Linked DNA regions of Drosophila melanogaster. The protein of the gene in region 1 interacts with the protein of each later gene in a pairwise test. Each region holds a gene or a part of one and is shown on either strand. Other genes may lie near its edges. The genes, in order: CG8508 and CG14535.

Evidence for each region.
Region 2: the proteins of CG8508 (region 1) and CG14535 interact in a two-hybrid assay, tested with the Drosophila melanogaster proteins (one large-scale study listed by BioGRID).

What each region holds. Positions count from the first base shown.
Region 1 is NT_033777.3:13,181,747-13,191,707, reverse strand, and holds CG8508 (uncharacterized protein), read left to right. Parts: upstream 1-5,211; 5' UTR 5,212-5,239; coding exon 5,240-6,043; 3' UTR 6,044-6,182; downstream 6,183-9,961. Other genes in the region: CG8141 (uncharacterized protein), read right to left, coding at 1-7; CG14380 (uncharacterized protein), read right to left, coding at 2,482-2,757, 2,822-3,001, 3,068-3,118; CG8138 (uncharacterized protein), read right to left, coding at 9,605-9,961.
Region 2 is NT_033779.5:7,848,714-7,859,899, forward strand, and holds the start of CG14535 (uncharacterized protein), read right to left. Parts: upstream 6,763-11,186; 5' UTR 6,311-6,762; intron 4,654-6,310; 5' UTR 4,589-4,653; coding exon 4,244-4,588; intron 3,028-4,243; coding exon 2,694-3,027; intron 1,827-2,693; coding exon 1,593-1,826; intron 877-1,592; coding exon 286-876; intron 137-285; coding exon 1-136. Other genes in the region: TwdlE (TweedleE), read right to left, coding at 9,857-10,211.

The DNA.
Region 1 (9,961 bases):
CTTCCATTTCAAAATCTTTTTGTGATTATTGTTTTTAAAAACCCATGCTCCAAATTACATAAATATAAATTTGTGCCTGGCAAATTTGTGACAACTGAGTCAAAGCAAACGCGACTTTTTATAATATTCTTAACACAGATCTTAGGTACAATAGTAATTTTATTTCTCGATTATATGAAAAGCAAGACATTTTCAGCGACTTAAATTTGAGGGCATATTAATTAATGACTAAGTTTCACCGTAACATAGTTCATGCCAGATTTTGATTGTTTTGCAGACACTTAGTGATTTATATTAAAACCATTCCAGCATTCCGTCCAAGAATTGCAAAACAGCGAACTACACACGCCGAGCATTTGACAGTTCCGGAAAAACGGCGGAAAATCGAAATTCGTAGCATTCGCCAGATGTGTGACATATGGCGGCATAATTTATGCGAAAATTGAACCGGATAGTGAGTGGAAACTTCGCGGTCCGTTGCCGCTGCATTTAAATTCTGACAATTGTTTGCATTGTCCTGGCAGCACGTCTGCGGCATTGTTTAATCCCGATTTTTCGACATCGATGGGGACCATCGACTGCTTGTTAATTGACCCACATTTGTGAGCTGAGTACATAATTAAAAGAAAATAAAGCGCGGGACGGTCCAAATAAACCCGCCGACAGGCGTTCGCACACATAACAATGACAATAATAATAAAAGTGAAGTTTCATAGCGAAATTACACACTCGAACAGAATTAAATAAAGAACTATTACGCAGTGGTGTAAAATAACCTGTTCTTGTTCTGAATAAAAAACAAGCGGGAGTGTTGCGTGGTAAAATATAATGAAATTTAAGTTTTTAAGACCATCTATAAAATATTTTTAAAGTACTATAATTATATGGTAATGCGTAGCAAAGTATTTCCGAAGCTTGTGGACACACCGTGCGCTTTTTACTTACCCAGTGAAATAACAACTAGCGGAAAATAATGCATATTAATAGCGACTTTTTCACATATTACACAACTGCCGACATTTATCAGGCATTAATAATTACGTGTTAATACGTGAAATATGATTAAATTTTTATCAGTTTACATGAATCACTTTCGCACGTTTGCGTGCGAACAAGGACATTTTATTGGCTTCATTTGGCGACGGACCGCAGAGAAACTGACGTTTGCCCAATCGGAATTACAATCGCAATGCCAGTGGTTCTGCGTCATTTGGCATCCTATATCCCTGTCCACAAAGCGAATCCTTTAGCCTGTCCATTTGCCTGCTGTGAGTGGAGGGGCGTAATACACTGCGTATACGTAATGGGGGTGCCCCAGCGTATACGCAATAAAAAGTGGTAAAGCCGAGCGATGGCACAAGGATAACCGCCTGCGCTGGCCATTAAATGCAACAATAAATTCGGCAGTTCAACTCCAGTCAACTTCGTTGGCATGCCCGAAATTTAATTAGTTGGCATTTAACATTAAGCATTTCCACTGGCGCCGCGGCTGTCATTGGGCTTTGTTTTCGTTTTGCTTTTTATGTTATTTTTCAGTTAATTAAACGCACGCCAACATCTCGCCATTCTAAATTGTGCGCAATTAAATTTGGAATTACTTTCAACTGAGTATTCGCGTAGCTCTCGCCAGCGGCGCGGCAATAACTTAACTTGAAATTTTATTGTAAGCCCCTGCCTTGCCAACTGTCACTTTTGATGGGCAGCCATTGGAGCGTAATTAGGCTACTACAACGCTCCTAAAAACCCCTACCCAAATTACCAACCCCTTCTCACTACTTGTGCCAAAAAGCTAACTTTAACTTTTCCAGCTTGGCAAGCCTTTAAGTTCGTACCTAACTTCGTTTGTCTGATGCTCGAAAGTGCACTGTCTGCCGGCTTCATTATGCAAAATGCAATGGTACACAAGCCGATGTGAAGAGGCTGCTTGTCTCCCTTATGAGTTGCACTGTTCAGACTTATCCTGGCCAGAATGGTATTTTTTTGGGCCCTGATGGTGCCCAAGCACTCACACATACACTGCATACACTGATGGCATTTTCATAATCGAGAAAAAAAGGTACCGAAAATGTATGTAATGCCAAATTATTAAGACCCAGAATGAGTAAAAATCTTGGAAAGAAAGAAAATTTCAAACTTCAACCCTATTAACTAACATTTATTACATAGAATTACAAAAATATATTGTATAATTATTCTCAAGGCAGGGCATGCCCACTGCGACTTGGATAAACAATAACAGAGATTCTCTTACACTCGTATATGTTTTTCATATCACCTGCGAAGAAAGCACACACACAGAATCGGTGTGTCATGAGTGAAAAAATAAAGGAGGTGAGCAGTTCGTGTCTGTCTGTGCCAAACGAGGTACGAGTGCAATATTTATATTATTGCAGCTACGGCGCCACATTGCAGCGACATGAAATGTTTGGCGTTGCATAAAAACCAAACTTAATGTGCACTCCCACGGGAATGAGGATGAGTTTATTGCTTTTGCGACTCGAGGTAACGCATTCTGTCCCGTTTGTGTCTTCTATGGGACTGAATGATTGTCACAATGAGTAACACCATGATCACGATCAGGATCACCACGCTGATGGCCGACATGCTCAAACTGACCGATTTGGAGGCCATTGCAAAGCTGCTAAAGAGGAAAATTAGTTCCATGGAATCTCCTAGCTTTGAAAATGAAACGCCGGTTAGGAAGTAGTAGGTAGAAGCGCAGTTAAACAGTATCATAATCAAAATCATGGCCACCAGCTGCAAAAATGGGATATTTAAATGTTCGAAATTAGACTTCACCTCCATTTGGCCGACCACCCACCACCAATCGCATGTGCAGACGGGTCCTGGAATAATTCGAGTGGTATAACCAGGTGCTCATGGCGTAAATCAGGCAAATGTAGGCAGTTCCCACGCAGACCACTTGATGGCCCAGCTGCTCATAACTGACGTGGAGGGGCAGGACGTTCCCAAACACCGACGCGTTCAGCACGGAAATGATCTGCGGAGCAGATGACTGGGGTGAGTCACAAGGTCAGATATTAGATGGCAGTCAGGTGCAACTAACCGCCGTGAGGAATAGCAATAACGATACGATTTCCTTGCGGGAGAGTAACATAATGGACGTAACTGGTAATTTAAAAATACTGCAACAGTTACTGATGTTTAACTCAAGGATTGATAAGTCATTTTCTACTACTCATTTTTAATGTGTATTATTCCAACAGGAATGATGGAGTAATTTTAGGTGCATCCGTTTGGTGAATTGCCAATCCCCTGCTGTTGTAGCTCTGTTCTCACTTCATATCCTTTCGAACAAGGTCGTGTTCCCGTCTTCCTAGATTGCCGGCCTATTTGATGAGCGCAAAATCATCGAGAACAAATTGAAATTTGCACCCATCGTGGAAGCTTATCTGCGCCACGCAGGCACTTGCAATGCCACCCATTCCACACAAATGGGAGCGGCAGGCAGCCGGCGCTAATTCATCAACAGTAAAGGCAATTTAGATACTCATCTACCGGATATCGACAGCCAGGCAGCCGGCAGAAGGCACAAGGCAGCCATGTAAGCAGATACCCTCGTCCTGTTCCGAGGACTCCAACCCATCCATTCCGGCGGCTGAGAGCAGCGCGGAGCGTTCTGCAGACAGGGTTTCATAAAATATTGATGGACGTGAAGTTGGCAGCGCATACTCGCTTCCTGTTCCGTGTCTGTCGCAGCCATAAATAATTTGCTGTAAATGCAATCGTGGGGTTACGTGGGGCATGGCATGGGCTACCCTGTGGTTCGAAGTGGGCGCTTTGGGTGCCAGTGGGTGGTGGGAGGTGGGTGGTCATCCGACGGTGGGGGCAGTGGTACGATGCTAATGGCAAGGCGCACGGTGCGAAAGTGTTTCGTATGAATTATTCGCCGGCAGCCAATTTGGAGTCACGTTTGCCAGCACAATTGAAACTGAACACCAACCATCGAACCACCGGCCATAGTGTCAATCCAGTGCTGGCGATTGCAGATAAGAATAAATAGCTATTTCAAAGGGAATCTCGAGTATATATAAAATGAAGAAAGCTTTGGTTATCTAGCTGAATGCAAGGATCGATTGTCTTATTAAAATTGATCAATAATTGTTAAAGACATAATCAGAATTTTTAGAGCAAATAAAGAAACGTGAGAATATTATAATTATTTTGTTAAAATTCAGTTTTATGGATATGGTAAATGTCTTACAAATATATTTGGCTTCTAATCTCTATACATAATATCCTTGATATTCTTAGCTAATAGCTAAGGAAAGTCTATTTCAACAGCACTGCCTTCCTGTTGTGAACCGCCTGTCGAAATGGTGTAATTTGTTATGTCTGCCACTGTAGCCGACCATGTCTATCTTCGGCCCGGGCTGCTTTTTAATAGCCATTCTCCTGCTGGCCGACTGTTGCTCGGCGGTTGTTGTGCCTTTATCGCCGGACTGCCTCCACTCCACCGTCGCCTACTCCTGCTCCTGCTCCTGAGTTCGTCCTGCGCCGGCAGGGTAATGTGTATTTAATGACGCCATCTCATGTACAATGCCCGTATCCGTTCTGCCATGATCCTGGCCTTGTCGACGGACACCGGTTGTCCTCCAGCGCCTAATGTCCAGTGACCGCAGCCATCTGCAGGATAATGCCCCGGCTCCTGGTCGACGGGTGCCAATAAAGCTGCGCCCGCTGGCAGGCATTTCAATTTCGTGCCTGCCCTGCTTTTTTCAATATTTTTAAACGGCAGCCATAAAACGTGAGCGGTAATGTGCGGACAAGGCTGTTTAATTGTACCCCTGCCCTCAGGGCAATCAGCAACTGTTTGTCTCAGATTACGATGGTAAGTCTCTCGATGTGTTTAAACAATAATTGAATTTAAGTACGTTCTCCAAACAATAGAATAGAAGCCCAGAAGAGCAATTCATATCTTGAAACCAGTGCACTGGCAAACTAGTTTGACATGTATGTTCGCCAAAAATTCTTAAATATTATATACTTAATGAGATACAATAGGGTTTTTGGTAATTTTGGGCAACCAAGACATACAGTATCTTTATAAAATCAAAAGGAAATTATGATAACTAAACTTTTATACACAGCTTCCATATCTAGTGATCTTTATTTTCTAGTCATTATCGCAATCTTATTATTATCACTCCGAATATCATCATATTTTTTTTGTGTACATTACTAATATATATTATCCCTAAATCCGTACAGGGCAACGATGAGTCTAAAGGATCTCAATCTGACCAAGGAGCAAATGATCAAGCTTCAGCAGTTGCTGGCACAGGAAATAGAGGACGAAAGCCAGCAGGAGCGGAATGAGCTATCAAACGATGATTTCATAGCCAATGCACTGGATAAAGTGCAAGTTTATGTGGAGGCTGGTAAGCCAGAGGCTTTTGTCCAGCTCAAAGAACCGCTATTATACAAATTTAAGATTACCTCAAATGGAGTAGCTACTGGATCTTCGGAATCGGATAAGTTTCAACGCGCAGACGCCAAGGAAATTGCTCGCTGGAAATCTGACCATGTAATAAATTTGGATTGCATTTCAGACGAGGACTACGAGCAGTTAAGCCAAATTCAAACCGATGAAAGTACTGGAGAAACCTACATGCTCGTGCCCATTGATATAAACATACTCATTGACGATACCGAAATAACTCCTGATACTTCCACAAAGCGTATCACCGAAAATGACGCCTACAATGCGACGGGAGCGGGACACACCATCTATATGCATCCCGAACAAGAGGGGCATCAGACTGGTTTAGATAGAAATCCTCAAGCTAAACACGCTTGCCCGGCTCCGCCAGAAGAGCAGACCAACTACGACTACCACATGCACACTTTCGAGGTGCCCAAGCTGAGTTTTCCCTTTGAACTCAAGTTTGGTATTGATACTGATCGATTGGTGGGTGGCAATGTGGATAAATCGGCTGAGGACTCGGGAAAATCAGATCACGACGACGATCTGGGGGTAGCTACCGAGCTTCAGGACGTCCTAGAGGATTTAGAGGTATAAAGATCATCTTGCTTTTTAACGCCATCAAGGAAATCATTTAGAACAACAAAATTTGTAACTAGCTTTCCAAGTTAGGTGCCTCTCGTTAACTAAATCTTTGTCTTAAATTATAAATATTTTATGAAATTATGTACAAGCTAAAATAATGCTACAGTATTTACAACTTTTTTTCGTGTAAGCATTCCCATTTCCTAAACGTAAGTAATGTGATTTAATTTAGTAGACCCAATCTAACCGATTCAATAAGCGTTCGAATTGCTGTTGCAGTAATAATAATGCTCTTAAAAGGGGTTGGTAAGTAGCCTACATGTTCAAATGCTTAACTAAATGGCACTTCCTCTCAAACAATTGCACCTAATTGCAGACACTTGACCTAAGCTGCATAACAATGACCGTCCACCCAATTAACCCCCCGATATCGGACTTATATATATATATATACATATCGACCAGCCCGCAATGCAATCTCATCCCCTGTTCAATACAATTTCCATTCAGCTTGCAGCACGGCAAAGAGAATATGATAAGAAGCAATGGAAAATTTGCATAAAGCTTTTAGCCTAACGACGCGACATTTGTTTTTTATGTGATTCATGGACCACCCTCACTTTATGTTCATTTTTTTCCATTTTCATCGCAGAATGCAACAACTACCAACTTCCGCACAATTATTCAGCAATTTTAAGCACAACAATCGGACGGCAGAAGGGGTCGAGCTGGGATCTGGCGGAGATCTGGTTGCATGCCTGATTGCCTGGGGGCCAAAAAGCTAGGTCCTTCGATTCCGACATCGACTTGGTCGCTTAAGCAGATTGAAACAATCTCCGGGCTGGGTAAGAGCTTATAGCCCTCATGGACAAAGGGGGGAGGAGGGTTTTCTTTGGCTTTTAACTTTCGCCGGGACTGCCATTATTATTATTCTCCGGCGTCTGCCTGCAACTGTCAGTTGGGTAATTTATAATGAAGTTTCCTTATTGACAGTGGCAGCTTCCCTTCGAATTCCTGGCTCCCGATTCACGATTCGCACTTCCGCTGCAGCGATTCTCCTGCAGTTGGGCATAAATTATGGATGCCTCTATATAATATATCGCCATAAATTGCTTGTCAAGTCGCGAGTCGACAGGCGAGCTAACTAAGATGCCGATGCCGATGCCGATGCCGGCAAACAAATAACAATCAAAATCACTTTTCGACCCCAAGTCGATTTATTTATATGGGACGAAATCTCGGTACTGAGGCCTTAATCGCTGAGGCCAGCCGCATCATGAGATCGTCAATCGTTTTGATTTATTGCTATTTTATTTGCGCATATCCTTATTTGCCTTGGCCGCAAACTTCGAACCCCAATCAAGGCCGAGACTATTTTATTGTTCGATAGCTTATCAGGCAAAGGCAAACAGACTGAGCGCCTTGGAGGCCGGCAAATATCATAATTTTCGCAGGACACGCTGCCCTGTGTTTGTGTTTGTGCTGGTTTCGTCCTGTCACAATGCCGTGCAAGGCATAAATCTGAATTAAATACCATTTTGAGCTGCTCGCAAGGAGTAGCTGGTCGGAGAAAATGTTTATATTCAGCACATTGTCACTTGTTGTGGCCTCTTTCTTGGACTCAACTCAACTCAACTCTGGGCCAGAAATTCCGCCGGGAATTGCTGCTCAGTGGCCCGGGCAAATAAATATTAATCATTGTGTAATAATTTTCTGCTGTCAGCTAAATTCAAGCAAAGTATTCATAATCCACAAGTAAGAACCGCTTTTGACAAATCGCTTTGCGGGCCACTCGCATAAATATTTATATTTATATTCCATGTAGGCCGGCAGTTAAAATGCTTTTAAAGTTGCCGAAAGTTGGGCGCCAGTTGCTGATTTGATTTTTTCAGCGATGTTTCCATTTGTTTTCTCGCCAACTTTCGGCAACTGTAAATCAGTTTGAGATCCTTTGATGTGTGTTTTGGGCTTGGGTTGCGAGAAACGAGATTGCAATAATCAAAATGTAATAAACAGAGGCTCTCACACATCCGCTTTCAACTGGTCGGGTCAAAACCAAAATGTTCTTTATGCACGGGTCCTTTGTACGTGATTGTGTGAGTGTGAGACCTTCTCATCTTGTCCTTTGTGTGTGTGGCTCTCAGCATTCGATGCACGTAACGCATTGTTTGAATTTCATGGCGACTTTATGAGTTTTGTAATCAGGTTTGTGAGCAAACAGACCCAAAAACACACACGCAGCCTAGCACTCACGTGTTAACCTGCACATAAATATTGTTTCTGGTCGTGGGCTCACCGATTCTCAGATGTGGGCGTGTTGACAAGCCGGCCGAGCAGCCAACCGCCCGTTAATGCTAATGAAACCCAAAGTTTGGGCTCGCCTATTAAGCCATTTTGTGGTCTGCAAAATCCACTTAAAACGTCTGGCGGCAACAAAATATTTTATTGCATACTCTTATGCGCAGACATTACCTGCACCTCTGCCTCAGCAATCGGTAAAAATGTTCAACAATGTGATTTATACACGCTGGAAGCACTTAAAACTAGACACACACTTTCACAATAGACTGGTCACACCCCCGGAACGCCCCTTTTGTTGTTTGCTGGCACTTTTGGAGCTCTTCCAAGGATCAGAGCTTAGTCAGCACACATGGAAAAAAAATCAGACACATTTTAAACTGTTAAACTTAAGGATATATACATAGATACAATATAATTTTAAATCGTACGTTAATCATGGTCTAATTCTGAAATGCTATTAGGCAGTTCCTTAAGCAGATTCTTTTATTGTAAAATAATGACCTCGTTATCCTTGGTTTTTTTTCTCGGTGATACTCTATTGTCTGTTTGCCAAACAAAAGCCTCTCTGCAGTTGATGACTAGAAATTAACTAAGCAGCAATAGCAGCAGCAACAATGTTGCCAAGACCGAAGCAATGGGGCTGTCTCAAAGACCGGAGGCCCCACCCCCACCACGGAAAGCAAACAAGTAGTATTTCCAACCCCTCGGCTTGCAAGTCTAGCTATCGGCTGTCCACTATGGAGCATTAAATAAATATTTGCCATGCTCTGCAGGAATTTTGAGACCCCAAGCCCAAGGAACACATCCCTGCCTGCCTGCCTGCCCGTCCGACTGGGAAAAAAATATTCTAAATATCATATCATCAGCATTTTTCGATGGAGTCTCGCCCTGGTTTCCATGGGGCCATGCGGTTTCGGGGGCTGGGATCGTCCAGTGTTTACCATTTATTTTTTGATTTGGGTATTTAAGGTGTAGATGGATGGGCCAAGGCGGGCGTGCGTGTCCAAAAGAGTGTCGCAGTGTGAGTGCGGAGGGGTGAGTATATGTGTGCGGTTGTGTAGGCAGCAGAGTGTTGACAACTTAAGTGGAATTTTGCTTGGTCGAGCGTTGCAAGCATTAGCTTTTATCAGATGACATTAATATTATCTGAAGGACAGTTATTAGTTGGGTTAGAAAGAGACGCATCCTACATTAGACAACTAAGAAATGCACTTTTTAGTCCAATATTTAAATTTATATTCATTGCTCGCCAAAACATTAGTTGAACATAATCTAAGTCTTCTTACGAACGTGGTGGTCGTACAGTATAATGAAACCATATAGATTTGACCTGATCATAGAGCGTCTAACGTTGCTGGAAAAGGGGTTCTTCTTGGTGGTAACGGGTATGTTCTTGTGATCTCCCTTGTGAGCAAACATAAGACCATGTTCCGGATGAGCTACCACCGTATAATTGTCGTTGTCATTCGCAAAAATCTTCCTGGTCTTCCAGTCGTAGAAGACTATATCACTCGGCTGGGGCTTCAGCAACTTCCGCTCCTCGAAAACCGCCTTCCAATCGACTGCATTTGGTCCCTTGAACCGGTAGTTTCGCAGACTGGCCTCAAAGTCAATGTAGCCTGACTTGGA
Region 2 (11,186 bases), on another chromosome or scaffold:
ATGTGCCGGGGTATCGGTATAGGTGAACCCATTGCCTGTATCTGTGGCTGCTCGTGTGGAATCATTGGCGAGGAGCAGGCTCCCGCTCCCGCCTGACGTTTCAGACTGCCCGTGTGGCTTCCCGGAAGCTTTTTAGCTGAAATTGGAAAGTAAGCAAAAAATATGTGAATTATAAATAAGGGCTTTGATGGTAGCAATAGGTCAAAAGCAACCAACATCTTGGCCAAATAAATTCTATTGTATGTAAGCTGTCAGCTTAACTTTTAAATAATTTAAGTGTTTTACCTTTTTCCGCTGCCATGGCTTTTTTCATCATCATGGGACTGTTGGAAGCTGACTTCGAGGGGGGCTTCTCCAGCCCACTCCCTTTGAGGGCTTTACTCATCACCCCGCGATTATCCCCCGCAGTCAGCGATGGCAGATATACGGGCGGATGTTCCCCATCCGTGGCATCGTCATTGGGCCCCATATAGATGACAGTGTCGGCTGAGATTTCCGAGCTCGACGGATCCGCACCCGATCCCGCCGAGGAGCCGTTGCCGCCGAGTCCTTGGGCCAAGCCCACAGCCAAGGGCATGGGAACACGATGTTTCCTGCGACGCAGCCGATGAATTCTGGATGCGATTTGAATGGTGGAGAGTGCGTCCTGATAGCTCTGCTCTGGTCGCACATGGGCCACGATGGCCACATGGCAGGTAATGGGGGCCAGGCAGTCCTTGAGCAGCGGCGTCAGCGGGTGGTCCTTGTGTGGGGGATGCCTCTGGCCGGATAGTATCGCGAGCAGTATGTTACCGATCCCCGACAGCGGCAGTCCCCCGTTGCGATTCGCACACCCGCCCAGGTCGATGATATGTAAACGGCTCCGACCGCCAGCAACTGCACAGAGAGAAAATATTGAAAATATATTAAGTATATTTATGAAAGTAGTTTAACAATTTCAATTGTTAAAATTAAAAAAAAAACAAATTGGATTTATAGCTCTTAAAAATCAGTTGATAAAATGCTTAAGCATAACTGATATTTAGTTCCATTTCTCCATGTGTTTGCATAAGAGGCAAGTGGGTGGGAGTGGGTTTAAATGGGGGTGGCGCTGGGTGTTGGAGTGGAGGAAATGCGACACTTTAATGGCGCTGCCGTCTAGTGGTAGTGAAGCATTTAGCGGGCCACTTGAGTGGCAGCAGCAACAAAAGTGGCAGCAACAATAGCAATAACAAGGAAAAGGGAACACTTCGAAAGTCGAAGAATGAAATACTCTAGGTTATTCGAAAAAGGCTTAAAAAGGATTCTAGACTTCCACGTATGAAAATTAAAAAAGAAATGTATTGAAAAAGAAGAGTAGAAGGTAATCCTAAAGATACTGGCTAATAATTCGTTTTTGGAATATGATAATGCTGTTCAAAAATATTTAAATAAATATAATATGGATACAATTTCTTAAAGATGCATATTCAAGTTTTGGTAGCTGTACTGTATCTATACAATACATTGTAGTTGCCATATTTTATGATTTTTACAAGCTTTACTGCTCCAGAACTTAGACCAACACCCCAAATTTTGCAGGGCACGACAACAACAATGTGTTGGACACTTACCACCTCCCTTGCGGGACAGGCTGTACTGGTAGACGTGCAGCGTGAAGATGAGGGCGGACTCCAAGGGGGCGGCACATCCAGAACTCCCAGATGCCGTGGAACCGGAACTTTTTAAGCGTCCGGCGAGCGCTGAGTCGAGGAAAAGGGCCGCACGCTCGGCGGTGGGTGCACGTAGTTCCGTTGGACCGCCAAGGAAGTCGTCACGCAAATAAATCCCCGGGGAGTCGTCAGATTCTGTGTAGCCGTAGTCGGAGCCGGAGTTCCAGTATTGGGACCAAAAAAAAAGAAGCGGGGAGTGAATGAAAAGGGCATTAGGTTTTATGTGGGAATAAACGCCGTATTCTACGGGGATAAGGTGGGGGTGCTGTTCCGTTGATGATAAGAAGGTGGGGTTGGTGTCGGAACTGCTGCCCAGGTTAAGTTTATTCAAATTGGGCCAGTTACGACCCCGACCCGCCCCAGTCATCATCATCATTGTTTGGCCCAGGGGCAACATTATGCCACGCCCCCTGCAACCGCACACAGCGGAGCCATTTATTCTGCCGGCGATTCTGCCCGCTGGCATCTAACAGGTGGACCAGTTGCCAGTTACTAACTACCCGAAATTAAGGGAAAAGGCAAGTTAAACAAAGATCTGTTAAAGCGGGTAACTAGAAGCAAACACACCCAAAGAATATTAGCTTTTCTGAGTACTCGCTGGCCTTGGTTAATTAAGTCAACTTTTAATCTTGATTATATATATGTATTTAGGTCTTGATTATGTTTTTTGTACAAGTTAATCATTTTAAATAATAATGTAAAGAAGCATATAAAATTATATATATGAATCTGATGATTATAAAAAATCCTTCTTATGCTTAAGAATTTTCTAAAATCATTGTTTATTACAGCTGAGCATAAAAGTATCTCGAAGTGAGCAGTATAGCTATATGTATTTAAACTCAACTTAAATAACAAATAATAAAGACAACTACTTCTTACAAAGAAAGGAATGCCTTCAGCTTATAATGAATAGTGGCACATTTAGTAGTTGACCTGGAAACGTTGAGCTATGTACCCCCGATCCTGGCCAAAGACCCCTCCTGTCTGCCATATGCTTACCGGCTGCATGCGAGATGAGCAAATCCTGCGATAGGGCATCCGGCTTGGTGGCACTGACGCCCACGGCACTGACCCGCACCGAGAAGCGTGCTCCGCTCTTCTGCCGCCTCTCCTGGATGCCCTTGTACAGCCAGGCGATGGCGCAGGGTGCTGCTCCCAGGGAACACGCCACACCGCTGCCACTGGCACTGCCACTCCCACTACCACCGCCCAGTTCTCCCAACACCGTTTGGGCCTGGCCGGTGGCGGGATATCCCATGGCCAGCAGGCAGCCATCGGAACCTTCGAGCACGGCGGGTATCACTTCGCTCAGCGCCGATGCACACACATCCGACTGGAATATACGATGCACAGAGAGAAAATGTTAAAAGGTTGGGCATTTTTTTAAGAACTTAACTAAATGGTAATATATAGGAGTTTATAATAATGATGGTTTCAATGGGTATCAATAAGTAAATATAAATGATATAAGATATTTTCCAATTTCCTTCCTTACAAGCACCAAGCATTTTTCTTAGTGTTTATCGAAAACGAATAGGTGTGGAGTGGAGGTCAGTGGGTGGTGGCTAACAAGGCATACTAATGGGCTCTCTTTAATGGCTGGAATTGGGTTCGATTGCGGGGTTAATTCGATTGCTGATTAGATCCGATGGGGCAGGACAATACGCGTATGTGTTAATTCTATTGGGGGTATTTCTTTCGTTCGGTCTGAGGGATTGCCTTATGAGTGATTGCACTTGGAGGGTCATAAATCTTGAAAAGGAACTTTGCTTGCTATGTATTATGAAGATTGATTGTGGTATTTTGTGGTGACTTGTTATTCTGTGGAATTACTAACACCTCTTTTGTAATCTCTTAACAAGTTAAATGGCATAGCTTCGAGACAAAAAATCCAGACATTTATCGTTTGCACCAAATTATTCATATAATGCACAGATGTGCCCTTCTCACAAAAGGATTCCCACGGTCAATTTAACTTTTATAATTGCAACTCAATATTTACGTTAGGGACATTTTTCTGCAGACAAATAACATCGCGAGAAGTCTGGAAAGTTTTGTTGATTTTGAGAAAAGCAAAGTACACTGGCAAAGTGTTAACTCTCAGTTGCCGGAAGTTTTGTAGTTTTTTGTACATAATGAATGGTTTTATTGTCAATATTGTATTACCCTTATTATTATTAGGTGGGCCTTTTGTTTGTTTATCAAGAATTAATAGCTGTTAATAAGGGTTATTTGCCACCTAAATTATACTGTGTGTCAACAGTAACCAATCAAGTATTTAGTTTACTTGGTAACGGTTGCTCTTGTTTGTTATTATTTAAACAAATTTGCTATTTACATTTAAATAAATTAGAATTAATACTTTTAACTACATATTTTTCAAACGATTTTTAGAATATTTCAACTTGATTTAATTGATGTTATACTTATGATGTTTTATACCTATTTCTTAAACTTATTCTGGATCTAAGGATGCTTTAAATAAATTGGTTCAACATCCATGTGTGAACGTGCACTCCATTCAGATTTTCGTTAAGGTTGAAACTCACCTGCTTATCCTCGCCAGTGAAGAGGTTATCGAATGCAAACATTTTGGGAGCGGCCACCATGGGCGCCCGTTCCTGGGCAGCCTGGGGCGGCGGACACGCGGTTCTCGGATCGGTGAGCGTGACCTGTCGCTTCTTCTTGTCCAGGGCCATAAAGTCCGGCTCGGTTCCGCCGGAGTTCCTGTCCCGGTCCGCCACCCGCAGCATGACCTTCACCTTGCCCACTCCGTAGCACTCCCGGCTACTCAGGCGTCGGATGAGGGTCGGCGGCATCGGCGGCGGTGCCCGCTGCAATGCACCACAGAAGCCACCGTTGCGGGACATGTTTGACGTACTGGTGGTGGCCATGGTTCCTTGACTATTGTTCGCCACAGTTGGCGGTGGAAGTTTATTGCTGGAAGCACTTGCGTTTCCTTTTGTGGGGAGGGGTAACGAATAAAATTGGGAGTTAATAAGAGGCCCAAATCCTGGCTTTTGTTTTATGTCTGGGGATCTTAAAATGCAATCGTCACTCCCCATAAACTTTGTTTGTTTTTTGGGGGTTTTATGGTTCTTTAAATAGTTGCTGGGCCTGTCATAAATTGCGATTTCGGTTCGGCCCGATGGGCATAAGTTATTTGGTCCTGCCGCCAAGAAGGGTCCTTGCCCTTCGGTAATGGCCATAACACTTTCGCTTTATGGTTATGGGCCATCTGTTTATTGGGCATATGCTTCACTGTACTATCATCACTATCACGCTCGCACTGTCACTGTCACTAAGCTCGTGTTTTATTCACTTGTAGCATCTTGTGCATAAAATCAAATTTATGTTGAATTTGCTTGGGCTTTTATGGTGGGAAATTATGCGCTTCGTTGTCTTTCTAGTGTTCTTTTGGGACTGTCGTATTTCACATCAGTTTAATTCTATTTGAAAAGTTTATGTACACGCTTTTAAGTTCCTTTCGGTCATTAAAAAAAGTTTTAAGCCCAGACTTTTAACAATTTTCAGTTCTTTGTTGGAGCTATAAAGTGTTTTAGAGGTTTTGCATTCTATTACCGAAAACATTAGGACTTTAGTTACAGTATTAATTAAAAAATTAATTAAAAACTTTTCTATGATTACTGTTAGAATTGATTATATATTTAAATGTGGTTTAATTTCTAATACCTTAAATTTAAATTTGTTATAGTCACACAATATTTCTGGTAAAGGTTCCGTTGCTTTTGCAAAGCTTTATTAACTTTTAAATTTTTATTTTTTTATTCTTGAGTTTAATTAAGTTATTATTTCATTTCTCTGAGGAACTGTCTGAACATCTTTAAAATGTTCCTTTGGGATGGGCTTTCTAAGGCGTGTCACTCAAACTTAGATATCGGAATGGCATGCTTTTGGGGCATGCTTCTTATCGTGCTTGTTATGTTTTATATCACTGAAATTATTAACTTTACTTGTTGTGCTGAACTTTACATATATTTGAGATATTCATGCAAATTCCACTGGATTTCTTCATTTTTACTTGTCAGTCGCGGGCCGTGACATTTCTTCAATGCCTTCATTATTATTATTTCAATTTGACTGGGGAAAACGTGACGTTTTTGCAACGTCTTTCATTAATATTGTCCCCCGATTCCCAGCCCCAATTTCCCCATTCCATACACGCTGGCCTCTTCTGTATTGCCATTCCATTGCCATCCCCTTTGAATGACAGGCAACAACTTCGGGTCGGTTCAACTTCATTTTTCAGGCTACGCGCACCTGCCAACTGGAGGGAACTTCTTCGGCAGCTTTTCCATTCTTTTATATGGGTTTGTCCCTTACTTTTTTTTTGCCTGCCCGGTTTCAGTTCGCTTTTTATTGGAGGACTGGCGTCGTCCACCTTTTGAGTTTTAGCTTTGGCTTTTCACACAAATCGATTGGCAATGCCTTCTAATTGTACACGACGCACAATAGGGGAGTCTAGCTGAAGTCAGGGGTTAAGGGTCCTGCGGGGTAGCGGGTAGGCGGGGGTTAAGGGATTTCCCTTTTGGCACAACACACACACACAAGCACACTGGCACGCAAACACACACGAAACAGGAACAAACACAAACCCTTTTTTTATGACTGGCAATTTCTCGCTGTTGATTTCATCTTTGGCTCAACTCCTTCGACTTTCCAAATTGCCTTGATTTCCTCGCACATGATTTATACTTTATATTCAACACACTGGGATTTTCCCCGATTCTCAGCGAGCTTTGTTGTTTTTCTTTTGTATTGGCTTGTCACTTTAGCGAATAATAAATAAAAAACCCGCCAGGCGCGAAAGCCAAACGCGTGCCGATTGCGTTGGCATTACAATGGCAACTGAAGTCGGGTTTTTGGTTTCGGTTTTGGTCTTCGGTCTGGGCCTGAATTTCCCAAGAGTTTTCCGCCTCTCTTTGGCGCAGGCGTGCCAGAAGAAAGAGCGAATCGCGTATGGTAACGCCACATTGCTGACCCCAAGGGTAGTCGGACTTTCACTCTTTCACTCTCTTTCGGAAAATCTCTTGCTTTCGGCCAACGACAGTGGCTTTGAGGCTCAGGTAAACAAAATCAGCGAGGCTAAAACAAAAGGAACAGCGTAAATGATGTTTATATTGTAGACGTCAAAATGCTCACTGGCCAGGAACATTAAAATAGAGTGATACCTCGTCTTTACTAGAAGATGTCCATGGTCACTCGATCTTTAAACGCTAGTAACCATTATTTCTTTACCTTAAAACAATAATGTAATGTATTATACAAAAAATATGTTTTACTTAAAAAAAAAAAAAATTTATAAAGTATGGTCTCATTGTTAAATATTTTTAAACACTATTACTAAACTATTAAAAGAATATATAGCTTAAGAAATAGATAACAAAATCTTTTTTATAAATACTTAAAAGTTGGTTATCCCCAAAAATTGAGTTAAAAGTGCAGGCGTTAGCATTCAAAGATTGAAATCCATAGCTTTTACCGCCTCTGGGATGCAACAGTACAAATACAATATACCTTTTTTCTGCGTGAGTACCTGGAATAAAAGGAATATGGACATGGTGATAGTTGAGCTGCTGGAGCGTCACTTAAGTGCCGCTTGGAGTTTCTGCTGATGGAGGGGGCTTTTTCAGGGGGCAGAGTGGGCGTGAGGTGATGATGGGGCTTTTCGTGGATGGGGATGGGTGAGTGGTGGGCAGAGGGGCCAAATGCAAACGATGTGTTTTTAAGTTCGCTTACATTTGGCAGGCTCGTGAAGGAGCTGTTGAGTGTGTGTTCGGGTTTAAAAGCATGTGTGCACCGGAATGGATGGGGCTTGCACGGATTTACCTCTACTTTTTTTCCATTTTTTTTCACCAAGTGGACAACGGTAACGGGTCAATTAAAGTGGACCCGGCTGATTGTTATTAAGGTGGCTGCGGGAAAAGGGCTGTAATCCAATCCGTTTTAAGGTGTTTCGCTACTAATTATCTTAATACTTAAGGGAAATTCCGTGAAAATCGTTTTTCCGCATCGAGCAAATCAAATTGTATGCAATCCAAGCGCCAAAGAAAATAAAACGCAAGCAAATAAACGAAACAAAGCTCAAGTTCGGTGAATGGAGATAAAAAGTTTGAGAAGCACTTGCGTACAGTTTGGAGGCTAGCTGCGGCGCCATCTGGCGGGCGAACATAACGTGGCAACGCCAACGGCGTTGTAGTTTGAATCTTGAGTTCATTAACATGCAATGAAAATAAGAAATCGTTAAACTATATTTAACATAAAAGTTCCTGCTTATCTGTACTACTGTTTAATATATTTTCATGATATGCTTTTATATATAATTTCAATCCAAGTATTGTCATAATTATCACTATAGCTTATATTATTTTTTATTTTTAGCGTAAGCTGAAAATACTTAGCATGATATTTATTTTTCCAGTAAAATATATATTATATCTATAAATTCTTATCAACAATATTGCGCTGCTGTTCATATTGCGCTGTTGTCATAATTATCACTATAGCTTATATTATTTTTTATTTTTAGCGTAAGCTGAAAATACTTAGCATGATATTTATTTTTCCAGTAAAATATATATTATATCTATAAATTCTTATCAACAATATTGCGCTGCTGTTCAGACTGCAGCATAGGAATTCACATTTAGTGCATTATAAACGTTCGTCTAAAGAGGTTCAATTTGCTAAGCATGTTCCAGCTGAAAGTTCTCCTATATTACGCAATTATCGCAATAGTTATAAATGCATCACCTTCAGGATGCGAGGAGACAGATCGTGTCGAAGCCTCGAAGCGCTGATGCCATTGATCGGTCACATTGCCCAGCACCAGGAACAGTGGAAAACCTGCAAGTTGCAAGAAATACAGGCCCAACAGAGGGATATTGAAAAAGAAATTGAAAGCCAGAAGACATCGCTAACGGAATCGTGGAAGAAGATCATTGCAGAGGATATCGAGAACAGAACCAATAGGTCAGAACTTAAGATGGAGGGTCAACTATCTGACCTACAGGAAGCATTGACTAGTATAACGACGTCGCTGAAGAATATGTCTGCGAAAATAAATATTTTACATAGGTTCAAGCGAATCGGATCGAGATATTTGCACATCGAAGACATAGTCCAACAAAATTGGACCAGTGCTTTGAGCGCATGTCAAAAGATGGGAGGTAATCTAGCCTCAATTATAAATGAAGCAGACTTTAATGCTATCGTTTCGCAACTAAGCAAAGACAACACTTATATGATTGGCATTAGTGATCTGGCTGAAAAGGGCGTTTTCATATCTGTGTCCTCCGGAAAGAGAGCACCTTTTTTGAAATGGAATCCTGGAGAGCCACTATACGAACATGTAGATCAGCGTTGCGTTTCTATACATAACGGTGGCATGTGGGTTGCTTCTTGTACTTCTGATTTCAAATACATTTGCGAGGCAAATGAAAATGTATAGTAAACAGATATATATAAATATATGTACACATATGTTAAGACTTGCAATGTGAAACATACAAAAAGAAATCCATCTTGTACAGATAATTCGTTAAACTTTTATTTAGCCATTGATGTTTTGTGTTTTTAACATTATATACTTGAGTATCATTTTAATCTTCATTTTTTTTTGTTGCATTTCGAGTGCTTCGCACATTCTATTTAATGACAAATCGTGTGCGAAATGTGCAATATGAAATTGGAATAAATTGCCTACTTGAAAATGCGTTTGTGATGAAAATCATGTACCACGTATATATCGTTAATCGGTATCAGGATCGATATCTCTATCGATAACTAAGGCTAGCTCGCAGTGAGTGTTTCGAGTGTTTTGTGTGAGTGTATAACGCATCGTTCGCTTAAAGACCTAGACTTAAGACTAAACAAACAATTTGAAACAAACAGCCTAGATGGAAAACATACTTCTCGTACATCAGGTAGAAACAACATCAGAGATAAGAATTACTCATCTATAGGAGTAATAATCCTATGAGCTGGGTGTGGAGAGGGGATGGGGGAGATTCGTTGCTTGGTAAACTTTGTCACGCGTTAAGGTCCTTGAAACAGAAAATAATACAATACACATAAGATATGCAGTTTGCCATGAGTTGGGTTGAGATAAGCAAATCGGTATTCGGGTTGGACTGGATCGCCTAGTGGGATGGTGCCCCATACGAGCTGCTGGGAGCAGAGGGTGCGGGCGGGGCAGCTGGAGCTCCGTACTCGGGCGCTGGAGGCGCCACACTGTTGGGATAGGGTCCGGTCTCCTCCTTCTGGGTCTTGTAGCGGATGAAGTACACCTCCGGCTTGCTGGGTTGGGTGGGAGCTGGCGTTGGGATAATGATCTCCGGCTGCTCCTCCGGCTTCTTGACTAGCACGTACACCAGGGTCTTCTCTTCGTTCTGTGGGAACTGCGGTATTACAGGGGCGGTCGGTACTGGTGGAGATGGCGCCTTGATGAAGACGATCTTGTAGTGCTTCTGCGGAGGTGGCACGTAAAGGGGTTTCCTGGGAAAATATTTAAAAATGTATTTAAATAAAGGTTCTGCTATATCTGTATTTAAGGAATTTCTTAGGAATTCTATGGGTAAAGTAAGACACCACATCCTCATATAACGCAACTTTTTTTGCTTCCGGCTTGTAAAAATTTACATACTGAATAAAAAAATTTCAATTACACACGGCCAGGCTGGAATGACTTTCCACACTTCCTATAACCTTGCCTTGTTGAACGAACAAATACCGCGATGCGGGAGAAAGGAGTTTCTCTTTGAGGTGCATGCAAATGGCATGCCCATAAATGGTGACCTCCCGAAAATGGTGACCTCCCGACAACGTTGAACCCACTGCAGCTGCTTGTCAGTTTTACTAATCAGATGAAGATGATGACTATTGTGACGATGACAGCGATTGTCACAACAACCGCCTCGAGACGAGGGTTTACATAAAGCTACCTATGGTAATCGAGTTCCTGTCCCTCTGCGCCTGATAATTTGCTTGGAAATGGTACTGAGATATATACGAGTACAAGTGCTGCGGCGAGCTTAGGTAACGTTTTAGTCACGGTTTGGCGGTCTGCAAAGCCATATCATTCCCCTCTCGTGGTAATTAACATCGCTTCCAACTCCAATTGAAAACAGACAGAAGACGACAGAAAACATTGTATCAGCGAAAAGAGAGGAAAGTTGGATGGCTTTCGTTTTCGCGGGTATTAAATAATGTTCCTCCTCCGTTTAAGCGACCCTCTAAATACCCTGGAAATGTGGCAACAGCTGTGGAAAAGGGCCCTGAGCTGGATTAGATGATTGCCGGCTGGTCTCTTGCAACATTTGTCTAGTTATTATCTTTGGGAGTTGACGGCACTGCCTGGTTTACGCCGATGAATTGTGAGAGAATCTGCATAAGTGCCTTGGATTATATACTCATAACACAACAATGTGTTTTTTCCCCATATTTTTCCAATCTTAAGTGGAACAAGACAAA